Anolis sagrei: one gene and its partners. The protein of the gene in region 1 interacts with the protein of each later gene in a biochemical or structural test. Links are inferred from orthologs where the notes say so. Each region holds a gene or a part of one and is shown in the gene's direction. Other genes may lie near its edges.

The links.
Region 2: the proteins of ERBIN (region 1) and ARVCF interact in a test that uses a peptide from one of them, tested with the Homo sapiens proteins (3 studies listed by BioGRID and IntAct, with this or other methods). The link is inferred for Anolis sagrei from reciprocal best matches to the Homo sapiens genes ERBIN and ARVCF.
Region 3: the proteins of ERBIN (region 1) and ATP2B4 interact in a test that uses a peptide from one of them, tested with the Homo sapiens proteins (2 studies listed by BioGRID and IntAct). The link is inferred for Anolis sagrei from reciprocal best matches to the Homo sapiens genes ERBIN and ATP2B4.
Region 4: the proteins of ERBIN (region 1) and ABCC4 interact in a test that uses a peptide from one of them, tested with the Homo sapiens proteins (2 studies listed by BioGRID and IntAct). The link is inferred for Anolis sagrei from reciprocal best matches to the Homo sapiens genes ERBIN and ABCC4.

Annotation. Positions count from the first base shown.
Region 1 is NC_090022.1:267,864,958-267,872,692, reverse strand, and holds the start of ERBIN (erbin), read left to right. Parts: upstream 1-4,724; 5' UTR 4,725-7,217; intron 7,218-7,735. UniProt on the Homo sapiens protein: Acts as an adapter for the receptor ERBB2, in epithelia. By binding the unphosphorylated 'Tyr-1248' of receptor ERBB2, it may contribute to stabilize this unphosphorylated state.
Region 2 is NC_090034.1:35,513,448-35,520,454, reverse strand, and holds the start of ARVCF (splicing regulator ARVCF), read left to right. Parts: upstream 1-3,997; 5' UTR 3,998-4,305; intron 4,306-7,007. UniProt on the Homo sapiens protein: Contributes to the regulation of alternative splicing of pre-mRNAs.
Region 3 is NC_090024.1:191,987,640-191,995,174, forward strand, and holds the start of ATP2B4 (plasma membrane calcium-transporting ATPase 4), read left to right. Parts: upstream 1-4,524; 5' UTR 4,525-4,953; intron 4,954-7,535. UniProt on the Homo sapiens protein: Calcium/calmodulin-regulated and magnesium-dependent enzyme that catalyzes the hydrolysis of ATP coupled with the transport of calcium out of the cell. By regulating sperm cell calcium homeostasis, may play a role in sperm motility.
Region 4 is NC_090023.1:126,651,510-126,659,288, reverse strand, and holds the start of ABCC4 (ATP-binding cassette sub-family C member 4), read left to right. Parts: upstream 1-4,774; 5' UTR 4,775-4,884; coding exon 4,885-4,961; intron 4,962-7,779. UniProt on the Homo sapiens protein: ATP-dependent transporter of the ATP-binding cassette (ABC) family that actively extrudes physiological compounds and xenobiotics from cells.

The DNA of each region.
Region 1 (7,735 bases):
TTCTATAAAATCTGTGGGGTTGTAAGTTTAGTGAGACACCAGTCGTCTTTGCCAGGAAAGGCTAAAGACCTTGCGAAACTATAAATCTCATGATTCTGTGGCTCTTGAGCCATGGGAGTGAAAGTGTTGCCTAACTGCATTAATTCTAAAGAGTAGGGGCATATTTTGTCCAGCTGCAGCAAGGAGGCCCACTTTTGCTCTTCCCAGGAGGCTGAAGCAAAAGCAAACTGCTGCAACTTTTCCTAACATGCAAATTCTTCCGCATTAGTAATTTTTGCCATTTTGTTGTTGAAGGCTTTCATGGCCAGAATCACTGGGCTGCTGTATGGCCATGTTCCAGAAGCATTCTCTCCTGACGTTTTGCCCACATCTATGGCAGGCATCCTCAGATGTTGTGAGGTCTGTGGGAAACTAGGCAAATTAAGTTTATATATCTGTGGAATGTCCAGGGTGGAAGAAAGGACTCTGTCTGCTTCGGGCAAGTGTGACTTGCAATTGGCCACCTTTGATTAGCATTGAATGGCCTTGTAGCTTCAAAGTCTGGCTGGTATTTGCCATTTTGCCTATTTTCCCTGGCAACGAGGGAGTGTGCCATGATTCTGGAGGGTGACTATAACTCTGTTTACTTACTTACTTAGGCAATCCCTCGTAGTCCGAGGATGATGGTCCTCCAAGGTTGGTGTTCTGGTGGTGGGTCCATAGTGACTGTGGAGCCCTATTCTTGACCTGCATCTTCTCCCATAGTGAGGACATCAGTTTCCAGGTGGAAGGCGGTCCCGGTCGGGGTTGGCTTGACAGGCCTTCCTCTTGACATGTTTCTCTCTTTCGCCCTCCATTCGAGCCTCTTCAAATTCTACAGCACTGCTGGTCACAGCTGACCTCCAACTGGAGCGCTCAAGGGCCAAGGCTTCCCAGTTCTCAATGTCTATGCCAGAGTTTTTAAGGTTGGCTTTGAGAGGGATTGGCTGGTGACTGCTGGAAGAGCACTTTGGTTTCCTCGATGTTTAATGACAGGCCGAGCTTCTCATATGCTTCTGCAGAGATGTTTAGGGTGGCTTTTAGGTCTTCTTCTGAATGCGCACAGACGACATTGTCATCAGCATACTGAAGTTCTATAATAGATGTTGTTGTAACCTTGCTCCCAAGGAAAATATAACTCTGTAGTGCAGGCATGAGTAAACTTTGGCCCTCCAGGTGTTTTGAAGTCCAACTTCCACAATTCCTAACAGCCTACCCTGGGAGTTGGGAGTCCAAAACACTCCCAAGGGCTTAAGTTGCTGTAGTATCATAGAATCAAAGAGTTGGAAGAGACCTCATGGGCCATCCAGTCCAACCCCCTGCCAAGAAGCAGGAATATTTGGAAACTTGCTGTTCCATTGTGCCTTCCCAGATTAGGAATCCCTATCCCAAGTCCTAGTAGCACTTTAGCACAATTAACATTGCTGCACACCATACTTTAATTCCTACGCCCCTCCTGCCATTTCAGCACTTTTAACCTTGTACCCCTCTCGCCGGCCGAACCAGTTTTAATATGTCTTGATGTATTGTTATTGCTGTCTCGCTAATTTCTGATTTTGATTTGCTTTTTGATTTTTGATTTGCTTCGTTATTACTTGTTACGTTCTCTATTGTATTGTGTGTTGTGGCTTCGGCCTGTGTAAGCCGCATCGAGTCCTTCGGGAGATGCTCGCGGGGTACAAATAAAGTTAATAATAATAATAATAATAATAATAATAATATTGCATTCAAATCACCCCTGACAGATGGCCATCCAGCCTCTGTTTAAAAGCTTCCAAAGAAGGAGCCTCCACCACACTCCGGGGCAGAGAGTTCCACTGCTGAACGGCTCTCACAGTCAGGAAGTTCTTCCTCATGTTCAGATGGAATCTCCTCTCTTGTAGTTTGAAGCCATTGTTTCGCATCCTAGTCTCCAGGGAAGAAGAAAACAAGCTTGCTCCCTCCTCCCTGTGGCTTCCTCTCACATATTTATACATGGCTATCATATCTCCTCTTTTTTTCCCTTTTTAATCTGTGTGTTTGTTTTGCTCTGTTTGAATTGTAATACAATGGTATGGTTGCTGATGACATGATAAATAAATAAATATCTCCTCTCTTCTTCAGGCTAAACATGCCCAGCTCCTTAAGCCGCTCCTCATAGGGCTTGTTCTCCAGCCCCTTGATCATTTTAGTCGCCCTCCTCTGGACACATTCCAGCTTGTCAATATCTCTGTTGAATTGTGGTGCCCAGAATTGGACACAATATTCCAGGTGTGGTCTAACCAAAGCAGAATAGAGGGGTAGCATGACTTCCCTATATCTAGACACTGTGTTAGGGAAGTAATGCTACCCCTCTATTCTGTGTGTGACTGAGTCCTATATCTATATATCTCCTATGTATACACCTTTCTGTTTCACTCTCCTTTATGCAAATACTAAAACCCTCTTCCCTTTCTTATCCCCTCCCCAAGGATTGAAAGTGGTCTCCTGACTTGTCCTCTATTCAAACTCTTTATTATTAGGTTGTTGGTTTTTCCGGGCTATATGGCCATGTTCTAGAGGCATTTTTTCCTGACGTTTCGCCTGCATCTATGACAAGCATCCTCAGAGGTAGTGAGGTCTGTTGGAAGTAGGAAAATGGGTTTATATATTTGTGGAATGACCAGGGTGGGACAAAGAACTCTTGTCTGCTGGAGCTAGGTGTGAATGTTTCAACTGACCACCTTGATTAGCATTTGATAGCCTGGCAGTGCCTGGGGCAGTCTTTTGTTGAGAGGTGATTAGATGTGCCTGATTGTTTACTCTCTGTTGTTTTGCTGCTGTAATTTTTGAGTTTTTTAATACTGGTAGCCAGATTTTGTTCATTTTCATGGTTTCTTCCTTTCTGTTGAAATTGTCCACATGCTTGTGGATTTCAGTGGCTTCCCTGTGTAGTCTGACATGGTGGTTGTAAGAGTGGTCCAGCATTTCTTTGGAGAGAAAATGTATTTATCGTGTCATCAGCAACCATACCATTGTATTACATTTCTAACAGAACAAAACAAACAAATAGATTTAAAAAAACACAGATTTTGCAAACTTGGTAGTTGATTAAATGTCCTTTGACCAGTATCTGGCCACTTGGAGCGCCTCTGGTGTTGCCGCAAGAAGGTCCTCCATTGTGCATGTGGCAGGGCTCAGGGTGCATTGCAGCAGATGGTCAGTGGTTTGTTCTTCTCCACACTCGCATGCCGTGGATTCCACTTTGTAGCCCCATTTCTGAAGGTTGGCTCTGCATCTCGTGGTGCCAGAGCGCTGACTGCTCAGCGCCTTCCAAGTCGCCCAGTCTTCTGTGTGCCCAGGGGGGAGTCTCTCATCTGGCATCACCCACAGATTGAGGTGCTGGGTTTGGGCCTGCCACTTTTGGACTCTTGCTTGCTGAGGTGTTTCAGCGAGTGTCTCTGTAGATCTAAGAAAACTATTTCTTGATTTGAGTCGTTGACGTGCTGACTGAAACCCAAACAGGGGATGAGCTGGAGATGTCTCTGCCTTGGTCCTTTCACTATTGGCTGCTACTTCCCGGCGGATGTAAGGTGGTGCAATACCAGCTAAGCAGTGTAATTTCTCCAGTGGTGTGGGGCGCAGACACCCTGTGATAATGCGGCATGTCTCATTAAGAGCCACATCTACTGTTTTAGTGTGGTGAGATGTGTTCCACACTAGGCATGCGTACTGGAGAGGAAATAATAAGTTTTTTTTTGTCACTTAGGTTTGGAGAGGAAATAATAATAAATTATTTATTTGGAGAGGAAATAATTTATTACAGGAATGGAAATTTGGATCATAGAATCATAGAATCAAAGAGTTGGAAGAGACCTCATGGGCCATCCAGTCCAACCCCCTGCCAAGAAGCAGGAATATTGCATTCAAATCACCCCTGACAGATGGCCATCCAGCCTCTGTTTAAAAGCTTCCAAAGAAGGAGCCTCCACCACACTCCGGGGCAGAGAGTTCCACTGCTGAACGGCTCTCACAGTCAGGAAGTTCTTCCTCATGTTCAGATGGAATCTCCTCTCTTGTAGTTTGAAGCCATTGTTCCGCGTCCTAGTCTCCAAGGAAGCAGAAAACAAGCTTGCTCCCTCCTCCCTGTGGCTTCCTCTCACATATTTATACATGGCTATCATATCCCCTCTCAGCCTTCTCTTCTTCAGGCTAAACATGCCCAGCTCCTTAAGCCGCTCCTCATAGGGCTTGTTCTCCAGACCTTTTATCATTTTAGTTAGATGACGGATTGGATCGCGACTCTGTTATGTTATGAGATGCATTGTGCTACCTGTTGTTGTGTCAATATTGTATATTATGCTTTTATGGTTTTAAATTGTATATTGTTGATTGATGTTTTCCTTGTTGTAAACCGCCTTGAGTCGCCTGCTGGGCTGAGAAACTGCAGTATACAAGTAAAGTAAAGCAAATAAATAAATAAATTATTATTTCCCCTCCAAACCTAAGTGACAAAAAAAAAAAACCCTTTCCTCTCCTTCCCTCCTACCTATCTTTATATATAGAGAGAGAGATTTTTTTTTCTTATTCCTCACACCCTAACCTGATCTTTTTCCTCCCTTCCTTCCCGGCCAAACCTTGAGAGCGCCACCTGATTGGCTGCGACGGGAGTCTCCTCTCTCCGGATTGGCTGAGGCGCGTCGCCCATTGCCAGACTTGTTGTCTGGCTCTGAGGGGGAAAGAAAAGTCTGAAAAGGGAGGAGGAGGGAGGGAAGGCCTCTCTCAGTCTCTCTCTCTCTGGCCTGGGCGGAGGCGCAAAAGCCGCGTAGTAGTAGTAATAGTAACGCCCGCCGCCCTCTTGAGCTGTTGCTGCTTCCTCCCTCCCTTCCTCCGCCCTTTGAGGAGAGAAACACCTCATACAGAGAGAGAGAGAGAGAGAGAGCTGCTGAGGGCGGGAATAATGGGGAAAGAAGGAAGGAAGGGGGAAGTGTGAGGAGGAGGAGTCGAGTGTGAGGCAGAGGAAGCAGGGGAAGAAAGGAAAAGGAGGAGGAGGAGAGAAGGAAGGAAGGAGGGAAGGAAGGGGCTTGTTGCGCCTCCATCTCGCTTTCCCTTCCTAGTAGCAGTGAAGGAGGCGACGACAGCATCCAAGGCCTCGTGAGGGAAGGAAGGAAGGAGGGTTTGGGCCTCCAAGAGGCCGGGGAAAGCAGGCCTCAGTTGGGTTTCATGAGGGGCAGGAAATGACTCCTCAGCCGGGACTGGGCGGCGTTTGAGGCACCTGAAACCGCATATTTTGTCAGGGCGGAAAGAGAGAGAGAAAGGAGGAGACTCGACGAGACCTCTCCTCCCCCCCCCCTTCTTCTTCGCAATTGGAAAGGATACAACAAGGTGGGGGGAAAAACCCGCAAGAGTATTATCGCGAGGAGACCTTTCCTCCCCCTTCTTCGCAACAGGAAAGGATACAACAAGGGGGGAAAAACGCCGCAAGAAAGAAGAGACTGAAACACGGAAAGAAGGAGGAGAAAAAGGGACTGAAACACGCAGAGATTGAGCTTTTCTCTCCTCTGTACAAGTGAGTTGTGGAAAGGATACAACAAACGACAAGAGGAAAAAAATACACCGCAGGAAGAGACTGAAACAGGGGAAGAAGGAGGAGGAGAAAAAGGAGACTGAAACACACAGAAATTGGGACTCAACGAGAGCTTTTCTCCTCTCTACACAACTGGAGTGAGTTGTGGAAAGGATACAGCAAACAAGGAAATAAAACACCGCAAGATACAACAAACGACAAGGGGGAAAAACACCGCAAGAAGAGACAGAAACAGGGGAAGAAGGAGGAGGAGAAAAAGGAGACTGAAACACACACAGAGCTTTTCTCCTCTCTACACAACTGGAGTGAGTTGTGGAAAGGATACAACAAACAACAAGGGGGAAAAACACCGCAAGAAGAGACTGAAACAGGGGAAGAACGAGGAGGAGAAAAAGGAGATTGAAACAAGCAGATATTGAGACTCAATTAGAGCTTTTCTCCCCTCTACACAACTGGAGTGAGTTGTGGAAAGGATACAACAAACAAGGAAATAAAACACCGCAAGAAGAGACTGAAACGGGAAGAAGGAGGTTGCAAAAAAAGGAGACTGAAACACGCGAAGACTGAGACCCGACGAGAGCTTTTCTCCCCTTCTTCACAACAGGAGTGAGTTGTGGGAAGGGTACAACAAACAACGGCAAACGCAAGAAGAAGAGAAGGAGAAAAAGGGGACTGAAACACACAAAAAATTGAGACCGGGCGAGAGCTTTTTCCCCATCTACACAACTGGAGTGAGTTGTTGAAAGGATACAACAACGTCAAGGAAAAAAAAACACTGCAAGAAGAGACTGAAACAGAGGAAGAAGGAGGTGAAGAGAGAGGGAGAGACTCGACGAGAGCTTTTCTCTCCTTCTTCACAACTGGAGTGAGTTTTGGAAAAGGATAACAAACCAGGACAAAAGCAAGAAGAAGAAGAGGCTGAAACACGGAAAGGAGGAGAAGAACGGATCTAATCAGAGAGAAGGAAAGACTTCTTTGGTTCCCTTCTCGACTGAGAGGGGAAAAGTGAAGAGGAGGAAGGGGTTTTGTGGAAAGGAAGCACCAAGGAAAGTCCCCCCAAGAAGAAGAGACTTAAACGAGGAAGAGAATAAAGGATATAATCAGGCAGAAGAAAAGAAGAGATTTTTTTTGTCCCCTTCTCGACCAAAAGGGGAGAAAGGAGTTTTGTGCAAAGGAAGCACCAGGGAAAGTCCTCCCAAGAAGAAGAAGAGACGGAAAGGAGAAGAAGGGAGAGAAACAGAGATTAGACAAGATCTTTTCTCCACTGAGTGGGAAAAAAAGTGAAGAGGAGGAAAGTGTTGTGTGGAAAGGAAGCAACAAAAAGAATAAAAAAAACCAAGGAAAAGGGAGTAAAATACACAGAGAAAGAAGAGTAGAAGAGACTCTAGAGGCCTTTTCTTTTCAACTTAAGAGGAAAAAGTGAAGGGGAGAAAAGGGTTTTGGAAAGGAAACAAAAACTCCCCCCCCCAAACAACAACAAGAAGAGCTTATTTGGCCTCTCTTTTTCCCCCTGGCACTCCCAACTGAGAGTTGTTGCTTCTCCCCTTTGCTTTCGTTTTTTTGTTGGGGAGGAAAAAAATCCACTCTTGGGATTTAAAACGTTGCTGGAAGAACTCGGCGCAGATGGAGGAAATCTGGATGCCTGAAGTCTGAGGTGGGTGGGGGAAATAATTCCCCAAAAATAGGCTAATGGTATTTTTTCTTCTTTTGGAGATCGCTAATACACAGTGTGGGCCAAAAGTCACAAAGATGTCTGATGTTTTTGATGACTTTTTAAAGCAATGAAAAAACAAGATTTTGCAGATAATGTAGTTTTATTTATTTATTTATGTATTGTATATAATGTTTATTCTAAAATAAAGGAGTTCTTAAATATTGAAGCCCCTTTGTGACTTTCGGCCCACCCTGTAGTATTTTTTTTCTATTGGAGGAAGGGAAGTTATATGTATTTCGTTTTGAGTTCATGGCCTATGTTCTTGATCCCCTCCCCCCAATTTTATGCTTTTATGAATTAGGAATTTGACTTCCAGTTTCGGGATGTGTGTCTGTGATCCTTACATGCATTTTCTTGCAGAGAGAAAATCTGGGAGAATTTTTGTTGGGAGGCAAAGCCTCTCAAACAGAAGTTTCTTTGTTCCACAGCAAGAAGGTATTGAATTGAAACTGCCCGAT
Region 2 (7,007 bases), on another chromosome or scaffold:
GAACCAAGATTTGAAGATTTGAACCAAGATTTGTCCTGAGCAGCCTTCTCTGCCAAAGAAGTACAGTACAGGTGCCTCACCAGACTACAACTCCTGGGATTCAATTACAGAGTCAGTCAAAATGGGGTTAGATGAGCCATGCCAGCTCAAAAGGCGGGGGGGGGGGGGGGGGCGGGGCGGCGCGGGGAGGGTGTCTGACTGTGTAAATTCTATAGTGTAGTTTAGTTGGCCTGCACAACCTGCAGCCCTGCAGGTGTTTTGAAATTCCTGATCATTGGACAAGACGGACAGGGGTTCTGGAAGTTGGAGTCCCAAGCACCTGGAGAGTTGTGCATGCCTAGGTAGATACTCCCAGAAAGCTATAAATCCCAGGATTCCATAGTGTGGAGCCATGGTAGCTCAAGAGATGTCAAGTTGCCCAGGGAAACCAGAATGGCCCCCTTCCTGCTATCCTTTCGGCGGCATGCTAAAACCGTTTTATTCAGGCAGGCTTTTGAAAGAGGTTTTTAAGACCAAGTCCGGGGCTGCAGTGGTTTTAGCTCTGAATACGTTTTAAATCAGTTTTTAAGGATTTTAACTGTTTGCTTTTAATGCCATCAATATTCCATGTTTAGGTTTCCAATGGTATTGCACTGGTTGTATTGTAAGCCGCTTTGGGTCTCTTTTGTAGAGAGAGAAAGCGAGGTACAAATCAACATCATAAACATAATAATATGCTGCGTTAATTCTGAAGCGTAGAGGAAGAAGCGTGTGGAAAAGAGAAATCCAAGCAAGGACGTCAGAAGCCCTAGCAGACGCCACGCCCAGCAATTGCACCAATCAGGCGTGGTCTCTAGGCGGGTCAGCCAATCGGCGTGCCTGAGTACCGCAAGCCGGCTGAAGGGCGGGGGCGTGGTCTCCGGAGCCAAAGGCGAACCAATGAGTAGCTTTGGGAAGGGGGGGGGGGGGAGAGAGGCCAGACGGGTGCTTACTGTGGACTGTATGCAGTTTGACCCCACTTTAGCCGCCCTCCTGTTATGCTTTGGGGCCCCTGGAAGCTGTAGTTTGCATTCTGGCAAAGGAGGCTCAGGAACTTGTCAAATTCCAACTCCCAGGATGCCCTAGCACAGCAGTCCAAGAGGGGTCAAACTGCATTTATTCTACAGTGGAGATGCACCCTTGGGCAAAGACTTTGGAGATCGGAGTTCAAATCCCAGTTCAGGCTGCTAGGTGATTTGGGACAGGTCATACTCTCAGGTCCCTTCTACTCTGACATAATCCAGATTCTCAAAGCAGATAATCCACGTTATCTGCTTTGAAATGGATTGTATGTGTCTACACTGTCATATAATCCAGTTTGAACTGTATTGTAATGGTCACTGTAGACTCATATAATGCAGATTTTAATACATTGAACTGGAGTATATGAGTCTACATTGCCATATAATGCAGTCAATCTGCATTCTGAAACTGGATTATATGGCAGTGTTCGTGGGGCCCAGTGTCGTCTGCTAACATTGACACCACAGTGCTAGCTGTTTCCCATCTTTACCTGGGAGTAATTCTCAGTGGATACTGTGAGTCAGACCCAGATTATTCAAGCCTGGAATAGAGCCATTGCAATAACCAGACATTTGGCATTTGTAAATCCCTGCTCACTCTACTTTTAACTGCCATGGCTGTGTTCTGGGAAGTGTAGTTTATTGTGCATTTACATGGCAGAATTAATGCAATATTAACTCTATTTTGACTGCCATGGCTCAATGTGATGGAATCCTGAGAGTTGTAGTTTGGTAAGGCACCAGCGCACTCAGGAAGGGAAGGCTAAAGACCTTATGAATCTATGAGGGTTATCCAGAAAGTAAGGTTACAATATTTTTTTAATATAATGAATGAATATATTTTAATAAAACATACATGGATTATAGCATGTATAGCATTTTTCCACATAATCACCATTCAGTTCAATACATTTTGGCATCCGTGGAATGGGTTTGTGATGCCTGTGTCATAGAAGTTTTCCTCCACCTTTTTCAGCCAGTTCGTAACTTCAGTGTTCACCTCGTCGTCATCGGAAAAGTGTTTCCCACCAAGGTGTTCCTTCAATTTAGTTAACAAGTGATAGTCACTGGGTGCGAGATTGGGACTGTGAGAGGGGTGGCTTAAAACATCCCAACCAAATGAAGTCAACAACTCGTGTTGCATGAGCGGTGTGCGGACACGCATTGTCATGAAGAAGACAGACTCCTGTTATCAGCATCCCATGATGTTTTTTTTTGTTTTTTTTGGATGGCTCTGCAAAGTTTCTTCATGGTCTCACAATATATTCCGTACCCATTTTGTGACCTGTTGTCTTGACATTACATTCTCTCCATAAAGTAAAACAATTTTGTGTTGAATAGTAGCTGCATTCATGCCCTTAGCATTTAGGTAGCATATTACAGCGTGAACTTTTCACTTGGGGGGAAACAGAATGAGGATGCTCATCTCTAACCTTCACAATGCCATTTGATGAGCTACTGATGACAAACACTGCTCGTTCACTTCCACTGGCTTCCTGTTATAGGGCTGTGATACCAACTTCTCCTGAGAAAATTCCTCGCGAGAGTGTGCCTTGTAACCTTACTTTCCAGATAGCCCTTGTATAATTCCCATAATTCCATAGCATTGAGTCACAGCAGTTAAAGTGGTGTCAATACTACAGTGTAGTATTAAAGTGGTGCATTAATACTACAGTGTAGTTGTGCCCTTTCTTTCTTTCGGTAGTCTGTCCAGTTTCTACAGAGGGTGGGCAACATAGAAATGACCCACTCCTGCACCACTGGATCTTTTCTAGTAGAAAATACAAGATTTTCCTCCCCTTTCTGGCATTTTTTCACAGTTGGATTCTGCACTGACCTACACAGAAGCAGCCTCTTTGCTGAGTTCAAAGAGACTTACTGGGCATACCTGTCTCTCAACACAATGGTTAGTCCTAACTAGAATATATTCATACGATCAATCACATTTATGGAAATCTCGATTTTCCATGGACTCATTATTATAGTTGCTCTGCTCTAGTTGAGTGTAGTAATTAGCAGTTTAGGGTAGAATAATTCTGCAAAGGGTTTGTGTGTCCTGAAAGGAAAGTCTTGGCGAGATCAGTCAAAGCGTGTTCCCAGAGCAGAGCTCAGAGGCTTGTAGCCTTTGGTGAGCCCTTTGATTTGTTTCTAATAACTTTAGATTGGAAAAATGCAGTTGGAACAAGATGTTCCACAACAGTGGACAGATGGTAAGATCACCTCTGCCCTTGTTTCCTTTTGTATCTGATGGCAGAATGTAGATGCTTCAGAGTTTTCTATGGGAAAGGGGACAATGCAATATTTCATGAGTCCTTCTCCTAGGCCCCTTCTACACTGCCATATAATCCAGGCGATCAAAGCAGACAATCCACATTGAACTGGATTATATGAGTCTACACTGCCAGATAATCCAGTTCAAAGCAGATACTCTGGATTTTATATGGCAGTGTAGAAGGGGCCCTAGAGACCACTACTTAGGCTCCAATCCACACACTTGCTCCAAGTTGTTGGAGATCCCAAACACTTTTAAAGTGTGTATCTGTATTGGCTCTTAAATCACATATGCTTGCGAGAACCCCCCCCCCCCTTAATATTTCAAGGGTCTGTTGACTTCATGAAGTGTGCACAATATGTCATCCTTGGAAGGAATGTGCAATATGTGGTTTGTATAGCTTCTACAGGGTCTGGGCAAATTTGCAGCATATATACCCAGGGGACTTTGTGACCCACACAGTCAATTCATTTTGTGGTTGCTGGGGGGGATTATTATTATTCCGAAGGAAAGTAGTCAGTTACATATTTTTCCCTTAAGTAGGAACTTTCTGGGGTTGGGCATCCGTAATATTCTCCAAATGGGCAAAAAAGTCATTGGGTCTGAGAATCAGGAGGTGGGAAATCCATCATGACACCCATGCGCCTTCACAGACTCAGAGAGAGAGAGAGAGAGAGAGAGAGAGAGCAATTGAGCATGTGTGCTTCTTTCTCTCCCCCTCTGGATGCAGGAGGAATCCTGGGACGCGATTGCTGCCTTTCTGGCTTGTCTCCTATCCCCCTCCCTTTTGGCATCACAAGGAGAGGAGAGAGGAAGGGGGGGGGGGGAGAGGTTGACCCTCTGTTTCCCTGATCAATTGCTGAGTATTTGATTTGAAGGAGTCTCCTCCCCTTTCGACACCCGCCTCCTTTGCGATCGTGTGAAAGCCAGCCAGGCAGCAGGGAAGATAATCTATTCAGCTGAAGGCAGAGAAGAAGACAAGGAGGAGAGATGGTGAGCGGATTTGATTTGGGTCATGGGGTGGGGGGGCAGTGGGGGGAGAGGAATGAATGGGCCTGTGGGCTGTGTGCTTGGCTTGCTGCGAGGCGGACATTCCTCCTCCCCACCCTGCACAAGCTGGACCAGGCTGCTTTGTGTTTTTGGCTCAGAGAACTGCAGCTTCGGCTTCCCTCTCTGTTTTATTTTTCATGGCAGTGGGCTTGGAATCATCCCTGGCGGAGGATCATCATGTGCGGTTCTGGGCTCGTTGTTTCAAATGCGGCTGGATCACTAGGAGAAAGGCGTTTCTTTCTTTAAAAAAAAAAAAGATCCGCATATGCCAAGGGCTCAACAACCAGGCATTGTGCCCTGTGGGAAACCCTGCAATGCTCTGGGTTCCTGTCCTGGTTTGTCATGGAGGGAAGCTGGAGCCTTTCTCTCCCTCCCTCTCTCTCTTTGGGTTGCATTGTGCATGCCCAAGACCCAGCCATTCATTAAAGCCCCATTTCCTTGGTGGATGGTGGTTCTTCTCTCCCCTCAGCCTTCAGCTTTCTTATCCTCGGAAAGTGGCTTTTCTTCAACTTCTCTGATGCTTGCAGGGTTGAGGACAGTTGTAAAGAACTTGCGGGAACTCTTTGGGGGAGGGGGGGGGGGAGCAAGCTGCAACCCATCACCACAGTGTGGCTGAGTTTGCTGGAACCAAGGGAAACTCCTACTTACCTGCTTGTAAGATAGGCACAAGGAATGAGCTGGCAAGGGCTTCCTAAGGTTGCACCTCTCCTGCCTGCTTTCCTGAGAAAGACCCCCCACTGAGTGTAGTAGGGTTTACTTCTGAATAGGAGTATGTAAGGCAGGCAATATTGCAGTGGGTCTCACCCCATGCTGCAGAACCTTTCCTTGCTTTTTATTCTCCCTGGGGCTCATTGTGCTTTCTCCAGGGACCACTTGGATATTTCAGAACAGGAAATACTTGCAGATGAATGTGTATTTTCTTTTGCAGAGTGAGGACAAGGTTTATTTTGGTCCTGCTATTAAAAAGAGAGTCCTTCTCCTGGTGACAGCATATTGACGCGTGCTGATGGTATCAGCCCTGGGGTGGCATGCTGCAGTCTTGTTTAAGTGGGGCTTGGCAGTTTAAGCTCCTAGAGAGATTGGATGTGATCTAAGTTACAAAATTGTAGAAGAAGCCTGACTGTGTAGGAACTGGGCACTGATTTTTATACCACACTTCAGGAGTACGCAAATTGGGGGAGAGGATAGCTTTGGCATTAAGCTGCTTTCTCAGCATGCAATGTCTTTTGGAAACAGCACCCAAGGTTTAGCATGTTTTTGGCAAACTGGAAATGCTGGCTAATGCTGGAGAGCACTGTGAAAGAACAGCTGTTAGTCTCCATCTCTTTCATCAGATGTCCTTGTAATGTAGGAAATGGTTATATGATGTGCCCCGTTAAGCAAATGGTGCTGTAAGTTTTTCCTTGAAGAAACCAACTTGGTAACTCTTAAGAACACAGGCAAGTTAATTGTACTTCCAAGTCTTACTGCTGTAGAATTTCTGATCCGAGTCTTACTTATATGGTAGTTTTCAAGTGGTAGGTGCCACTTGCTTCTGCAGTCCAAAAAGTGAGGTTGAATCCATAAAAGTGCATGCTAAAATAAAAAAAAAAACCACTGGTACAATTCTTTTTTCCCTCCCCTCCCTTCCTCCATTTTATTTTTAACATATATGCTGTATTTTTTTCCAACCTTAATTCTGATCTAGCCATTGCTGCCACCATAAGTTACTGTAGCCCATCTTGACCCAGGTTGAAAGTTATGTATGCATCTTGGTTTTCACCTGGTTATTTAAAATTGCCTGCCAAAGGTTTTAAAAATGCAGTTTGTATGGAAGGAGTGGCACAAAGTTAGCAAAATGCAGCGCTGGTAACTCCCATTCTTTCTCCCACCTCTTTCTCTGCCGTGTCTTTCTGGCAGCACCAAATTCTTCTGTCACAACTGTAGTTAACAAATCACTCGCAATCTTACCTTGGAGATTGTCTATTTGTAAACTCATCATAGTTGTAGAAATCTAAATCGGTGCATCTTGTTTTTCTTTAGTGCAATTTGCTAAATCTCCATAAATGTCTCTCTGGAGGGTAGGTCTGCCTAGGCTCTGAAAACAAAAAATCTATCAGAAAACTTGTTAGAGCTGTTGTAACATCAGATCTATAATTTGTTGCTTTTAATATTTGATTGTATCAATATAAACCACTCACATAAACTATTAAGGAATTCCTTCTAGTTGCTAAAAGGAGGGGGGAAATGCTTACATGTTTCTTCTCCTCACATAATAAGATCACACTTGGGTTGTAAGAAACATTTATTTCTACTGGAAGCAATGATTGTTTCTGTCCCCTGATTTTCTTTTTACCTGAAGCTCAAGGATTCTCTGTGCCAGAAATGCAAAGGCTCAGGAATGGAGATTGGAAGGCAAAATGGTCCCTTGGATAGTAGCCCATCTGTCCCTTGGAAAGACTCTCCAAAGAGCCTGAGATGAACCTCTTTTGTTCTTCACAAGCATCACCTTATGCATCACACTCCCATTTTTACCTCCCCACTGCTTGACATGGTCCAAAGCAATTAGTATCTTTAAAAATGTTCAAAGTAATCAGATCTTCATTATATGATATTCTTGAGAACAGGAACTGAAAGTAGGATGTGATTTTGCACTTCTTTGTAAC
Region 3 (7,535 bases), on another chromosome or scaffold:
TTGTTGATTGCCCCCAGGTATGAAAGAAATTTAATAAATTGTCATTGCTCAGTTTGAAGTCTTGTGTCTGTTTCTCATTCCGCCTTTCATGACAGTAGGGAGGAAATAATATGAGTGAATCAGAGGTAATGGGATTTGATGGCTCTGCTCCTGTCTGGCCAGAACAGGACAATGGGTTTTGACTGACCATACAATGAGTGCTGAGTATGTTGGCACTCTTTGAATGGGATTCCCAGGGAGGGGATCTGATCTGGCAATCGGGATGAGGAAATGTTCCCAGGAAAATACTGAGATAAAATCTGGAAAGAACCCTGTGGCTCTTTCTGAGTTCCAGGGCATTGTGAAGGGAGTAGGGTTATTCTTAATGTTGAGCCCTGCCCTGCAGTGTGGGGTGTGTATGTAGTGCTTATGCAACTATTGGTGAGTTAGGGATCCTGGTGTTTCGATAACACAGCCTCTGTTTAAAATCCTCCAAAGAAGAAGCCATCACTGGTGGAGTTTCACTGTTGAAAAGCTGCTACAGTCAGAAAGCTCTTCCTAATGTTCAGGAGGAATCTCCTTTCCTATAACTTCAACCCATTACCTGGAATCCTATGACTTCATCATATATGCTGCCGAAATTGCCACAGATCATGGTGAATCTGACATTGCCCAGCAGGGGGTATCCGTTGCCCCACAACCTGCATCACCCAACTTCCCCCCTACCTCATCCTATGGGGGGGAAGTGCTTGCCACCCAACTTCCCCGTTGATCCCAATGCAACACAAGAGCCTCCCATGTTGACACATTGGCGGCATATGCTGCTTCCTCTTCGGTGTTGTGACGGAGCCCCGCCAGAAGTGCTTCCAAGTCATGTGGTGGGATCTGACAGACTCAGTCGCAAAACTGCAGAGGAACTGGAGTATCCCACCGAAAATAGCCCCAAATTATGAGGTTGTTAGTTTCCAGGGCAGCAGAAAACGAGCCCACTCCCTCTTTCTTGTGACATCCTTTCAAATGTTCAAACATGGCTATCTTAACTCTTCTCAACCTTCTCTTCTGCAGGCTAAACATGCCAAGTTTTAAAACCACTCCTAATAGGGCATTGCTCCAGACATTTGATCATTTTAAGTGTTTTCCTCGGGACACATTCAGCTTGTCAATATCCTTCTTGAATGGTGGTGATCAGAACGGGACACAGTATTCCAGGTGAGGTCTGACTAAAGCGGAATAGAGGGACACCACAACTTCCCTTGATCTAGAGGCTTGGTTTCCAACATGGGGAACATGCCCCACAGGGGGGCAATTTGATTTTTAAAGGGAGCTATTCGAGAATGAGTTAATAACAGTGAATGTTTTGCATTGTCTAGGGGCCTTGTATAGTAAAGGTTTTCCCGACAGAAAGTCTAGTTGTGTCCCACTCTGGGTAGTGGTGCTTATCTCAATTTCTAAGCTGAAGAGCTGGCATTGTCCGTAAACACCTATGAGGTCATGCAGCCAGCCTGGAGCGCTGTTACCTTCCCATCGTAGCAGTACCTATTGATCTACTCACATCTGCATGTTTTTGAACTGTTAGATTGGCAGAAGCTGGGGCTAATAGTGGGAGCTCACACCACTCCCTGGATTTGGACCACCAGCCTTTGTCAGCAAGTTCAGCAGCTCAGTGTTTTAACCCACCGCGCCAATGGGGGCCTCATATATACACTATATAAGTATATATTGTGACATACACATTTTAAAAATGTTGTAGTGTTTTCTTCCTCAGAAGTTCAGCTGTCATTCTGTTCTTTTATTTTTCTCTTTCACGAATGTCATGTTCTTTGGAAGCTTGTTTAGACCAAGTTAATGGCCTTTTAGGCTTCCTCCGTGTGAATAGGAATTTACTTTTTGAATAAGAATTACAGTAGAGTCTCGCTTATCCAACCTTCGCGTATCCAAAGTTCTGTATTAACCAACGCAGTCTGCCACCCACAGGGATTCACAGGTGAGGAAAATGGAGTGTATGTTTACTTGTGGAATAATGACCAGGGTGGGAGAAAGAAAGAACCCTTGCCTGTTTTGGTGCTAAATTGGTCAATACGGTAATTACTACATAATGTTACTGTGTACTGAATGGCGTTTTCTGTCGATTTGTTGTAAAGCATGATGTTTTGATGTTTAATTTGTAAAATCATACAGTGGCCCCTCGCTTATTGTGGGTGTTATGTTCCAGGACCATTCACAATAAGTGTAATTCCGTGAAGTAGGGACACCACCTCCCCTTCCCTCCTCGCCCTCTTTACCTTCTTCTGCCTCCTCGTCACCATCTGGGCCTCTTATCACTGCTTGGGCCCTGCAACACCTCCGCTGCCTCCTCAATCGCAGGGCCCAAGCGGCAGCAAGAGGCCCAGGTGGGGAGGAGGAGGAGGAGGAGGAGGAAGGTAAAAAGGGCAAAGGGGCAGCTCTTCTTCCCTCCTCGCCCTCTTTACCTTCCTCTTCTTCCTTCTCATTGCTGCCTGGGCCTCTTACCACTGCTTGGGTCTCGCGACACTTCCTCAATTGCAGGGCCCAAGCGGCGGCAAGAGGCCCAGGTGGAAATGAGGAGGAGGAAGAGGAAGGTAAAGAGGGCAAGGGACCACTGTAATGTAATTTGACATTTCATAGGCTTTTCCTTAATCCCTTCTTATTATCCAACATTTTCGCTTATCCAACATTCTGCCAGCCCGTTTATGTTGGATAAGTGAGATTCTACTGTATAGGTAGTCCCCATGTTACAAACATCTGACTTACAAATGACTCATAATTAGGAATGTGGGTGAGACAAGAAGTGAGAGAAATCTCACCCTCAGAAAGGAAATTCACTTCTGAAAGAGTTATCATAGGGATATCTCTGCTGATAATTATTTATTTATTGTGTCATCAGCAACCAGACATTTGTATTACATTTTTAACAAAACAAACAAACAGACAGACAAAACACAAAGTTTGCAAGCTTGGTAGTTGATTAAATGTCCTTTGACCAGTATCTGGCCACTTGGAGTGCCTCTGGTGTTGCCGCAAGGAGGTCCTCCATTGTGCATGTTGCAGGGCTCAGGTTGCATTGCAGCAGGTGGTCAGTGGTTTGCTCCTCTCCACACTCGCATGTTGCGGATTCCACTTTGTAGCCCCATTTCTTAAGATTGGCTCTGCATCTCGTGGTGCCAGAGCGCAGTCTGTTCAGCGCCTTCCAAGTTGCCCAGTTTTCTGTGTGCCCAGGGGGAGTCTCTCATTTGGTATCAGCCACTGGTTGAGGTTCTGGGTTTGAGCCTGCCACTTTTGAACTCTCGCTTGCTGGGGTGTTCTATGCTGATGCTTTCTCACAAATCCTTGTTTCCAGAAGACAAATTTCAAAATCCAATTATCACAGGGACAGAAAGTGAGGTAACATCTTCTGAACAGGGACACAGACAGCAAAGCAAACACTACAAGGGTGTCAACACTTCTCTGTGCTATCCAAAACTTATACATAAAGTATATATATTTGGCTGGAGTTACACTTTAAAATGTACCTGTTCTGACTTACATACAAATTCAACTTAAGAACAAATTTGGGAACCACTGAATCATAGAATCATAGATTTGGAAGAGACCTCATGGGCCATCCAGTCCAACCCCCTGCCAAGAAGCAGGAAAATTGCATTCAAAGTACCCCTGACAGATGGCTATCCAGCCTCTGTTTAAAAGTCTCCAAAGGAGGAGCCTTCACCACACTCTGGGGCAGAAAGTTCCACTGCTGAACAACTCTCACAGTCAGGAAATTCTTCCTCATGTTCAGATGGAATCTCCTTTCTTGTAGTTTGAAGCCATTGTTCTGCGTCCTATTCTCCAGGGAAGCAGAAAGCAAGCTTGTTCCCTCCTCCCTATGACTTCTTCTCACATATTTATACATAGCTATCATGTCTACCCTCATCCTTCTCTTCTTCAGGGTAAACATGTCCAGCTCTTTAAGCCACTCCTCATAGAGCTTGTTCTCCAGACGCTTGATCATGTTACTCGTCCTCTTCTGGACACATTCCAGCTTGTCAATATCTTGCTTCAATGGTGGTGCCCAGAACTGGACACAGTATTCCAGGTGTGGTCTAACCAAGGCAGAATGGAGGGGTAGCATGACTTCCCTGGATCTTGACACTAGACTATTGATGCAGGCCAAAATCCCATTGGCTTTTTTTAGACACTACACTTCTTTTGATGTAAAACCCCATTGGCTTTTTTAGTTGCTGCATCCCACAACTTGTGGTCTTCTAAGCCTCCAAGAGGGTCGTTTCCCCCCTTCCCTTCCCTTCCTTTCACGTGGGTTCCCCTCGAGGCGCCGCCATCTCCTCCTTTCCCCCTTAAAAGGGAAGCCAGGCACAACCAGGAGTCGGTTGAGCGCGAAACCACCTTAACAGCCTCGCTGCCTCCCTTTTGCGAAGGACGGGGCTGAGTCTGTGGCAGGGCTTGGCTGCTGCGTTGCCATGACGAGCTTTTCCTCCAAGCAGGCGGGACTCCGCTTGGGGAAAGGCTGGGTTTGAAAAGAGAGAGAGAGAGAGAGAGGCGGGGAGGGGGACAGGCGGGGGGACCCACGGCGCTGCGGCTTCGCAGAGTTTGAAGGAAACCCAAGAGGAGCCAGCCTCTCCTTTCCTTTCTCCTCCCAAACTCGGAGCGGAGGAGAGCCGCGGTCCGAAAGCGCTGCGCTTCCTCCCAGGCGCCCTCTCCTCTGCTCTGCTCTCCCCTCCTCCTCGTCCTCCTCCTTCCCGCCCCCTTCCTCCTCCTCCTCCTCCTCCTCCTCCTCCTCCTCCTCCTCTATGGAAATCCAGGGGTTTTCCCCAGCCTGTGGCAGACTAGAGGACTGGAGGCGGAGGAAAGGCAGCGGGAGCAGCAGCAGCAGCAGCGCGTGAAGCGGCTCAGCTTCTCTTCTGGGGCCGTGAAGTTGGGCAGCGGCTGGGCGGGTCGCCCTCTTCGTCTCCCAGAGCCCAAGTAAGCCGGGGAGGCTCCCCAATCCCCCTTTTCTCTCGCTTGACTTGTGGGCTCTCCGGGTTTGGGGATGATGGGAGGGGAAGCCAGGGCGGGGAGGCTGCGGCAAAGACTCGATTCCTGTCCTGGAGGGAGGCCGGGTGGGGACGCAGGGAAGGAGGGAGGAAGGAAGGAGAGGCCCGCCTCGGGAGGGACAAACAACAGCAGCAGCAGCCAAGCCCTGCTTGGTGAACCGCCTTCGTCCCGGGCTTTCCGCTTCAGGAAAGTGTGATTTCCCCGGGCTGGGCGCGAACGAGGCGTGGAAAAATCAGGGTGTTCCCTGCGTCCGGTGCGAAATTGCCGACGAAGAGGGAATCTTGGGCGGAGGAGAAGGAAGGGGAGGGGAAAGGAAAGGAGGCGGACTCGGGCCCAAATCATGCAGTGCAGACCCACATCATGGAGTCCCTTCCACGCCGTTGTATGAGTTGTGTGGTCAGTGCAGGAGAGGCGCCCACTCTGCAGGAAACAAGTCCACACTGAGCATACAATGCGTGGTTTTTGGAGAGGCCCCTTCCTTCCCTTGTGGGGAGAAATAACCCCTCGCCCCAGACTGTGGAGTTTCTAAGCGCCCTTCCACACAGAATATCAAGGCAGGAGATCCCACAATATCTGCTTTGAGCTGGGTTATCTGAGCCTAATGTGGGATTTTCTGAGATATAGGGCTCTGTGGAAGGGCCCAATGGGGTTGGGTTGCTGTGAGTTTTCAGGGCTGTATGCCCATGTTCCAGAAGCATTCTCTCCTGACGTTTCACCTACATTTATGGCAGAGGTTGAGGGGTCTGTTGGAAACTTAAGTGAGGTTTATATATCTGTGGAATGCCCAGGGTGGGAGAAAGAACTCTTGTCTGCTTGGAGGTACGTGTGAATGTTGCACTTGGTCACCTTGCTTAGCATTGAATGGCCTGCTGTTTGAAGGCAGTTTCAACCCCTTTCGTAGAGGTTTATTTTTTCTTAGAGGAGCCCCCTCCCCCCCCGTGGAGCAAGTCCTCACCCTGGAGTTACCCCACATCGGTCTTGATCACTTCGGTCGTCCTGCTCTCATTTTTTTTCGTGTCAAGAGCGACTTGAGAAACTGCAAGTCGCTTCTGGTGCGAGAGAATTGGCCGTCTGCAAGGACGTTGCCCAAGGGATGCCCGGATGTTTTTGATGTTTTTACCATCCTAGTGGGAGGCTTCTCTCATGTCCCCGCATGAGGAGCTGGAGCTAGCAGAGGGAGCTCATCCACGCTCTCCCCGGATTAGAACCTGCGACCTGTGGGTCTTCAGTTCTGCCAGCCCAAGGGTTTAACCCATTGCACCACCTGGGCCCCTTCTCTACCTAGGGCACATTCTTCCAGGTGAGGCCTGCCCCAAAGCAGACGACGACACCCACTTTCTCTCTCTCTCTCTCTCTCTCCCGCCCGGCTATTCCCAGCACAGTCACCCGATTCTTCCTCTCCTTTGGGCAGCACAATGCCGGGTCTGTGCCTTTTGCGAGGGCAGTTTGGGGCGTGGAGTGCGAAAAGGGAGCGCCTTTTCCGGCCCGGTGTGTTTGCCCTCGTCTACACTGGAGGACGAGCGCAGTTTGGACCCTTCCCCGCTGGAGGATTTGGTACAATGTATCGTCGAAGCCTTTCATGGCTGGAATCACTGGGTTGTTGTAGGTTTTTCGGACTGTATGGCCATGTTCTAAAAGCATTCTCTCCTGACGTTTCGCCTGCATCTATGGCAGGCATCCTCAGAGGTTGTGAGGTCTTACAGACCACATAACAGACCTCACAACCTCTGAGGATGGCTGCCATAGATGCAGGCGAAACGTCAGGAGAGAATGCTTCTAGAACATGGCCATATAGCCCGAAAAACCTACAACAACCCAGGATTTGGTACAGTTTGGCCAGAGGGAGGCGTGGGCTCTCCCAACGCCTTCCTTCTGCAGCGGAGGGGCAACCCAAAGGTGTCTCTGACCCAGAATGGACCCTTCTGGACCCCACTTCTGTGGCTCGAGGTTGTGGCGTCCCCGGGGGGGGGGGGGGTTGTCCTTTTGGTGAAGCCGAGAAGGCTGAGTTTGGACTTTCTGAAACCGCGCTTCCCGTGATCCCACAGCATCGAAGTGGTGTGTCAGAATGAATGGATGTACCCCACTACAGTGCTCATATCATGCAGAATCAAAACTGCTTTCGGTAAAGGTTTTCTCCTGACATTAAGTCTAGACTCGGGGAGGGGGGGGGGGTTGGTGCTCATCTCCATTTCTAAGCCAAAGAGCCGGCGTTGTCCGTAGACACCTCCAAGGTCATGCGGCCGGCGTGACTACATGGAGTGTCGTTACTTTCCCATCAAAGTGGTACCTATTGATCTACCCACACTGGCATGTTTTCGAACTGCTAGGTCGGCAGAAGCTGGGGCTAACAGCGGGAGCTCACGCCGCTCCCTGGATTCAAACCTGAGACTTTTCGTTTATAACTGCATTATAGATCCACCCTGAGTCTCCTGTGCCACACTGACCAATGGGCTACTGGCTGGCAGCTCGACAGGTCGGGGGTGGGAGAAGGAGAGAGAGAGCTAGCTTGC
Region 4 (7,779 bases), on another chromosome or scaffold:
CTTGGAATTCAGTAAACTGCTTTTCTTGGATGAATTATGTTGTGCGTCCTCTTGATTCCTGCCTGTGCTCGCTCACCGGTTGCAAGCCAAGCTTTGGCTGAGGGCCCAATTGGGCAAAAGGGTCTGCTACAATTCTGCATTATAGAATTAATGCAGTTTGACCCCTCTTGACCTGCCATGGCTCAATGCTGTGGCAATTGTAGCCTTACATGGTCTTTTGCCTTCTGTGCCAAAGAGTCCTGATGGCTTACCAAACTACAACTTCCATTATTTCACAGCACTGAGCTGTGGTAATTAAAGTGGTGTCAAAGTGCATTGATTCTACAGTGTAAATGCACCCAAAGTTCTGCCATGGACAATATTATCAATAGGTCCTGTGTTGTTGTCCTTGGAGAGGAACAATTTGGGGAAGTCAGTCGTCCAGGCAGGAAGTGTTAATAGACTGCCTGCTCCTTTTTAGAGATTTTCAAACAATTGTGGTTGCAATGAGAATGCAGCTTTCATTGTTTTGTCTCATTTGCCAAAGATATATCAACAGCAATCATTAAAGGCATTGCATGCACATTTGGGAGGATCTTTCAAGGAAGAGTGGCCATCCCTCAAGGAAACATTAAATACAATTTAATAACAGAAAGGCTGTCACAAAAGAAGTCTTTTCATAATTTAAAGCTTGCTGTCTCATTTTTTACAAAGGCCCAAAGAGAAACTACCATCAACTGCTAAAGCCATATTGGAATATCAGATCTTACTAACATATGAGAGAAACCTTATTGTAGCCGTTCGTCCACATTTGCACTTTCGACTTTTGTGGATTAGATTACTCTATGTAACACGATTTTAGTTCTTAGCTCCTCATGCGGGGACATGAGAGAAGCCTCCCCAAGGATGATAAAAACATCAAATCATCCGGGCGTCCCCTGGCCAATGTCCTTGCAGACGGCCAATTCTCTCACACCCGAAGCGACTTGCAGTTTCTCAGGTTGCTCCTGACACGACAAAAAAAGGTTCTTGGGTTATAAATATCATTTCTTAATTGGTTCTGTGATTAAAAACATGGGAAAAGTTTATTAAACTGCAAAAACGTTGGTTTTGTGAGACATCCTGCAGCATATTTTGCTATTGTTTTTCAATGAATATCTCACAGGGCTGGGCTTTAGCACAGTGGGTTAAATTGCCAGTTGCAGAAAATCTTGCAGATCGAAAGGTTGACAGTTCAAGCCTGGGTTGGGGTGAGCTCCTGTCAGTCCAGCTTCTGCTCACCTAGTATTTTGAAAACAGCAATGTTAGTAGATAAATATGTATCGCTTTGGCTGGGAGGTAATAAAAGGCACCATGTGGACATGTCGGCAATTCAATCAGGAGAGCGTCTGGGGACAACAAAGCTCCTCGGCATGGAAGATGGAGCAACAGCATGACTCCATGGCCGGAGTCAAGCACTGCTTCCAGATGGAAAAAGATGGGAAGCCTTTACCTCTCTTTATGTACTTTCTGCCTTGGTTAATTGTATAACGGCATTGAATGTTTGCCGTATATGTGTACTGTAATCTGCCCTGAGTTCCCTCAAGAAGATAGGGCAGAATATAAATAAAGTATATTAATATTATAGAGTCTCAATCAATTCAACTTAGTTTGTGGCATTCATGAAAACGAAGATTCTGGAGTATAACAGCTAATTGCAAAGTAAATACTGCACAACTAAACAGGAAATAACACTTTCAAACCAGGCACAGAGTTTTGTTAAATAGTGTTATTCATGGATTTGATTAAAAATATTATCTCTGTGAATTTCAAGGTCCTTCAATACAATCCTGTGGTTGGTTTACAGTGGATATTGGTTCTAGATTAATTTTGGAAGATCTGGAAACTCCTAGAGAGATTTGCTCAGGTTAAAAAATAGTAATTTGAGCTTCTTTACTTTCCCAGTGGTCCCGTACCTCTATCCCCTACGAATGTGGAAGGGTGGCTCTATTACATACTGACAAATATTTGCAAGGGGAAACCTGTTGTGCCACTTATTCCCCACATCACAATTATGATATGATGATAACAAATATGGGGTATGGATCATGTTGGTACAAGAATGCAGGTAAATATCACACAAAATGTGCTGTGTCTGGTTATATCTTAATTTGCAATTTGGACATTTCTTCCATGTTTCCCCTTTGTATTGATATCTAAAGACTTGTAGCTCTTGTCCCAAGTTTCCAGTTCTCCCATGAGTGTTGCATTACCACAATTTTGATTCCCGAGCTGTAGAAATATTGAAGCAAACCTTTTCAGGAAGTTATATTTCTTTGGTGAAAAACTATCTGGGGTCTTGGGCAAAAGTCTAATTTTTTGTATATCTTCCAGTAGTGCTGTTTAGATATCCAGGGCCCATCTAGAACAAACATTTTGGCATTCATAACTATTCCTGGCCCCTCTGTGTCCTTGTGGTTTACTTGTGTCCTTTCTTCCTTCGCAATCTCATGCCGGAGGCTTAGTTTGTGTACAAAAAACTTGACATTTCTCTGAGGCCCCCATCCAAGGACATGAAAACCTGTTAGTTTTGTTTTCATTACTCTCATCGTGTTTTGCTCTCCGTCGTAAGGTTCACTTTTTCAAGCTCTGCAACCATCTCCTCTGGTTTCCTGATGACTTTTTTGGGGGAAGGAAGCAGCTGCAAACTCTTTCATCAAACGCAGTTTTGCTTGAACAGCCTGCAATTGTTGTCTAAAGGCAGACACTCTTCTTTACTGTGACAACTGTGGTTGCATCAATTTCATATGTTCTCCAGCAGTCACTTCACCACTAAACCACTAAGCCAAATGGAGTCATAGCACTGCCTGGCTCAGTGCTATGACACCTTGGGAGATGTAGTTTTGCAAGACCTTTAAAGTTCTCTATGAGTGCTGATGCCTCCTCAAACTACAACTTCCAGGATCCCAGAGCATTGAGACAGGACAGTTCAAATAGTGTCAAACTGCAGTAATTCTAGCGTTGATGCATCCTTAATTTTTAATTGAAGGATGCAGCTAAACCAGGCATGGGCAAACTTCGGCTCTTCAGGTGTTTCAGACTTCAATTCACACAATTCCTAACAGCCTACTGTGTATACAATATATTATATTATCAGCACAACACAATACTAGTATTATACATTACTATATTGCACTATACCACTATAGTAAAGGTAGGTAAAAGTTTTCCCCTGGCATTAAGTCCAGTCGGGTCTGACTCTGGGGTGTGGTGCTCATCTCCATTTCTAAGCCGAAGAGCTGGCGTTGTCCGTAGATACCTCCAAGGTCATGTGGCCAGCATGACTGCATGGAGTGCCGTTACCTTCCTGCTGGAGTGGTACCTATTGATCTACTCAAATTTGCATGTTTTCGAACTGCTAGGTTGGCAGAGGCTGGGAGTGAAAGCGGGAGCTCACACCGCACCCTGAATTTGAACCTGCAACCTTTTGGTCAACAGGTTTAGCAGCTCAGCTAAACCCACTGCATTGACCCACTGCGCCACTGGGGGCTCTCTGATATAGCACTATACTTTATAAGGAAACACAACATACAAACTATCTTCAGACCCACCAAGAAAATCCAACAAATGCTACGTTCAGCAAAGGACAAGAGGGATCCTCTCACCTCTGCAGGAGTCTACCTGTACCATGCAGCTGTGGACAAGTCTACATAGGGACCACCAAACGCAGCATTGCCCAAACACAAATCAAGGAACATGAAAGGCACTGCAAACTACTTCAATCAGAGAAGTCAGCCATAGCAGAGCACCTGATGAACCAATCGGGGCACAGCATATTATTTGAGAACACAGAAATGCTGGACCACTCTCACAACCACCATGTCAGACTACATAGATAAGCCATTGAAATCCACAAGCATGTGGACAATTTCAACAGAAAGGAGGAAACCATGAAAATGAACAAAATCTGGCTACCAATATTTAAAAAAAAACTCTAACATTACAACAGCAAAACAACAGAGGGGAAACAATCAGGCACATCTAATTACCTCTCAACAAAAGATTGCCCCAGGCACTACTAATCAAGGTGGTCAGTTGAAACATTCACACCTAGCTCCAACAGACAAGAGTTCTTTGCCCCACCCTGGTCATTCCACAGATATATAAATCCACTTTATTAGTTCCAATGGACCTCACTACCTCTGAGGATGCTTGCCATAGATGCAGGCGCAACGTCAGGAGAAAATGCCTCTAGAACATGGCCATATAGCCCAAAAAAAACGTACAACAACCCACTATATTTTACCTTTACTTATAATGGTCTTTCTTTGCCCATGTGGAGAAACACCTTCTAGCAGCTCATGAAGCAAAAGCACACTCCAATCTGTCACTTTGTGCTTCTCTCCAAGCGCCTGTATAGCTCATGCCTGAAAAATGTAACAGTAACCAAAAGTCCCAGACTCAGCTAGTTTCCCCAATCAGCTTGTACATCTTATTTTACAGTTGACACACACACTAACTGATTTCTTTACATGCTCCAACAACTGTTATTATTATGATGCTGTGGAAGGTTGCAGTCTGACAAGACCTTTAACCTTCTCATCCCCAATGATTCAATGGCATTGAGCAGAAGGCATTATAGTGGAGACACAGTGTATCCACTCTTCAGTGTAGAGATGCAGGCAGCGTGCTTCTTTTATCTCTACCTGCCTGTCTCCGGGGCTCCCCCTAGCGGCGACGGCTGTCCCTGCCGGTGTCAGCTTTCCCGGAAGCGCCCTCCCTCCCTCCCTGCCTGCTTGCCTGGCTCCTCCCTGCAGCCAGTGGCAGCCCTTGCTTCCCGGCGAGGCTCCGCTTCCTTTCTCCCGGCTCACACCACCCCGATCGCAGCGTGTCCTTGGCGGGGAGAGCCCTCTTCCTCCTGGGCTCATGGAGGCGCCCTATTCCCGCGGGCAGAAGGAAAACCCGCTCCGCCAGGCCGGCTTATGCTCTCGGATCTTCTTCTGGTGAGCCTGGAGGGTCCTGACTTGGGAGGATTCCTTCCCTGTTGCAATATTGAGCCTAAAGGCGAAGTGGATATCTATATCTGAGCTTATATTGGATATAGATTATATAAAACCGCGCGCCAGGCAGTCATGCCGGCCACATGACCTTGGAGGCGTCTACGGACAACGCCGGCTCTTTGGCTTAGCAATGGAGATGAGCCCCAGGGCTGAAAAAGTTGGGATCAGGGAAAAGTTGAGCATCTACACCAGCCATGGGCAAACTTGGGCTCTCCAGGTGTTTTGGACTTCAACTCCCATGATTCCTAACAGCCGGTAGGCTGTTAGGAATCATGGGAGTTGAAGTCCAAAACACCTGGAGAGCCCAAGTTTGCCCATGCCTGATCTACACTGCACGTTGACACCACTTTATGCTATGGCATCCCTGGGAGTTGTAGTTCCACAAGGTGCTGGTGCCTCTCCAAACTACATCTCCCATGTCTCCATAGCCTTGGCAGATAAAATGGTCTCGATCTGCACCCATTCTAGTGTAGATTAGATGCACCTTGTGCCAAGTCTGTCCCTGACCTCAGGGCAAGTTGTAATTCACTTTCTCTCTTTATCTGTTGGTTCCTTTGTCTTCAGGGCAATGCTTTCTTGGAGGAAATGGGCTTTCTGGGCTTGGCTTCCCAAGCAGGGCCTGCCTAGCGCCAGGTCTACGGGAAATGATTCATAAATTCTCATTGGAACTTCGGTGCTTTCTTCCAAGATCAAAGAGGAGTGTGGAGACTCCTAAATCTGTCAGGATTCTCTAGGCTTCCGCCAGACCTCAGGAGTGAGGCACTATAAACATTTTTTTTAAAGTTGAAGATACAATATTTTATTTCAGGGGGAGGCTTTAAAGTTGGTAAATGGGACAAAAAGTGCATCTTCTCTGTAGAATGAATGCGTTTTGACACCATTTCAACTTCCATGAGGTCATGGGAGTTGTCGTTTTGCAAAGTCTTTAGCTTCTCTGCCAAACTGCCAATCTTAGGAATTTTTGTGTGTGTCAGGAGCAACTTATTTATTTATTTATTATTTACTATATTTGTATACCACCCTTCTCTGCCCTCAGGTGACTAAGGGTGGTTTACAATGGCAATGATTCAATGACCAAAAACACCATAAAACATTTAAAAACATAAATAATTGAGAAACTGCAAGTTACTTCTGGTGTGAGAGAATTGGCCATCTGCAAGGATGTTGCCCAGGGGACGCCCAGATCTTTTACCATCCTGTGGGGGGCTTCTCCCATGTGCCCAATTTTAGGATTCCAAAGCATTGAGCTTGGCAGTTAAAGTAACCTCAAACTGCATCACTTCCGCAGTGTAGATGCACCCAAAGTGTGTATAGAAAGCTGTGACACTGTACCGTTGAATTAAAATGTTATACAACTTAAATTTAGTAAAGTCATCAGGCGTAAGTTATTTTATTTGAGTGAAAATCCATAATTATTCATAATAATAATAATAATAATAATAATAATAATAATAATAGGGTTGTTGTAGGTTTTTTCAGGCTATATGGCCATGGTCTAGAGGCATTCTCTCCTTACATTTCGCCTGCATCTATGGCAAGCATCCTCAGAGGTAGTGAGGTCTGTTGGAACTAGGAAAAAGGGTTTATATATCTGTGGAATGACCAGGGTGGGACAAAGGATTCTTGTCTGTTGATTCGTGTTTGGGCGCTGCATTTGGTGGTCCCTGTGTAGACTTGTCCACAGCTGCATGGTATACGGTAGACTCCTGCTGAAACTAGAGGATCCCTCTTGTCCTTTGCTGAACGTAGCATTTGTTGGATTTTCTTGGTGGGTCTGTAGATAGTTTGTATGTTGAGTTTCCTCATCAGCTTCCCTATGCGGTCAGTGGTTCCCTTGATGTATGGCAAGAACATTTTTCCTCTGGGTGGATCTTTGTCTTTACTCTCGTGGCTTGTTCTTGGTCTTGCAGCTCTTCTGATGTCTGAGGTGGAGTATCCATTGGCCTGGAGAGCCCAGTTGAGGTGGTTCAGTTCATCTTGGAGGAGGTGGGGTTCGCAGATTCTTTTTGCATGGTCTTCCAAGGCTTTAATGGTGCTTCTTTTTTGACTTGGGTGATGGTTGGGGTTTTTATGTAGATATCTATCTTTTTATGTAGATATCTATCTGCCTCTAGACCATGGCCATATAGCCCGAAAAAACCTACAACAACCCAGTGATCCCGGCCATGAAAGCCTTCGACAATACAATAATAATAATGTTTATTATTCAGGAGCCCCCAGTGGCACAGCTGGTTAAACTGCTGAGTTGCTGAACTTGATGACCAAAAGGTCAGCGGTTTGAATCCAGGGAGCGGGGTGAGCTCCTGCTGTTAGCCCCACTGAAAGATCGGCAGTTTGAATCCAGGAAGCGGGGTAAGCTCCAGCTGTTGGCCCCAGCTCCAGCCAATCTAGCAGTCAGTAGATGCAAATGTCAGTAGATCAATAAGTACCGCTTCTGTGGGAAGGTAATGGTACTCCATGTAGTTATGCTGGCCACATGACCTTGGAGGTGTCTATGGACAACGCTGGCTCTTTGGCTTAGAAATGAGATGAGCACTCCCTGATGGCTCTTTGGCTTAGAAATGGAGATGAGCACCACCCCGCAGAGTCGGACACGACTAGGTTTAATGTCAAGGGGAAACCTTTACCTTTATTTATTATTCGTCAGTCCTTTTGGCTCAAGGAGGGGCACAGCATAGTAAATACACCTTGTGAAAGCACATATTAAAAGATAGTTGAAATGCAACAATTAAAGCATATATACACTTATTGATATACATGA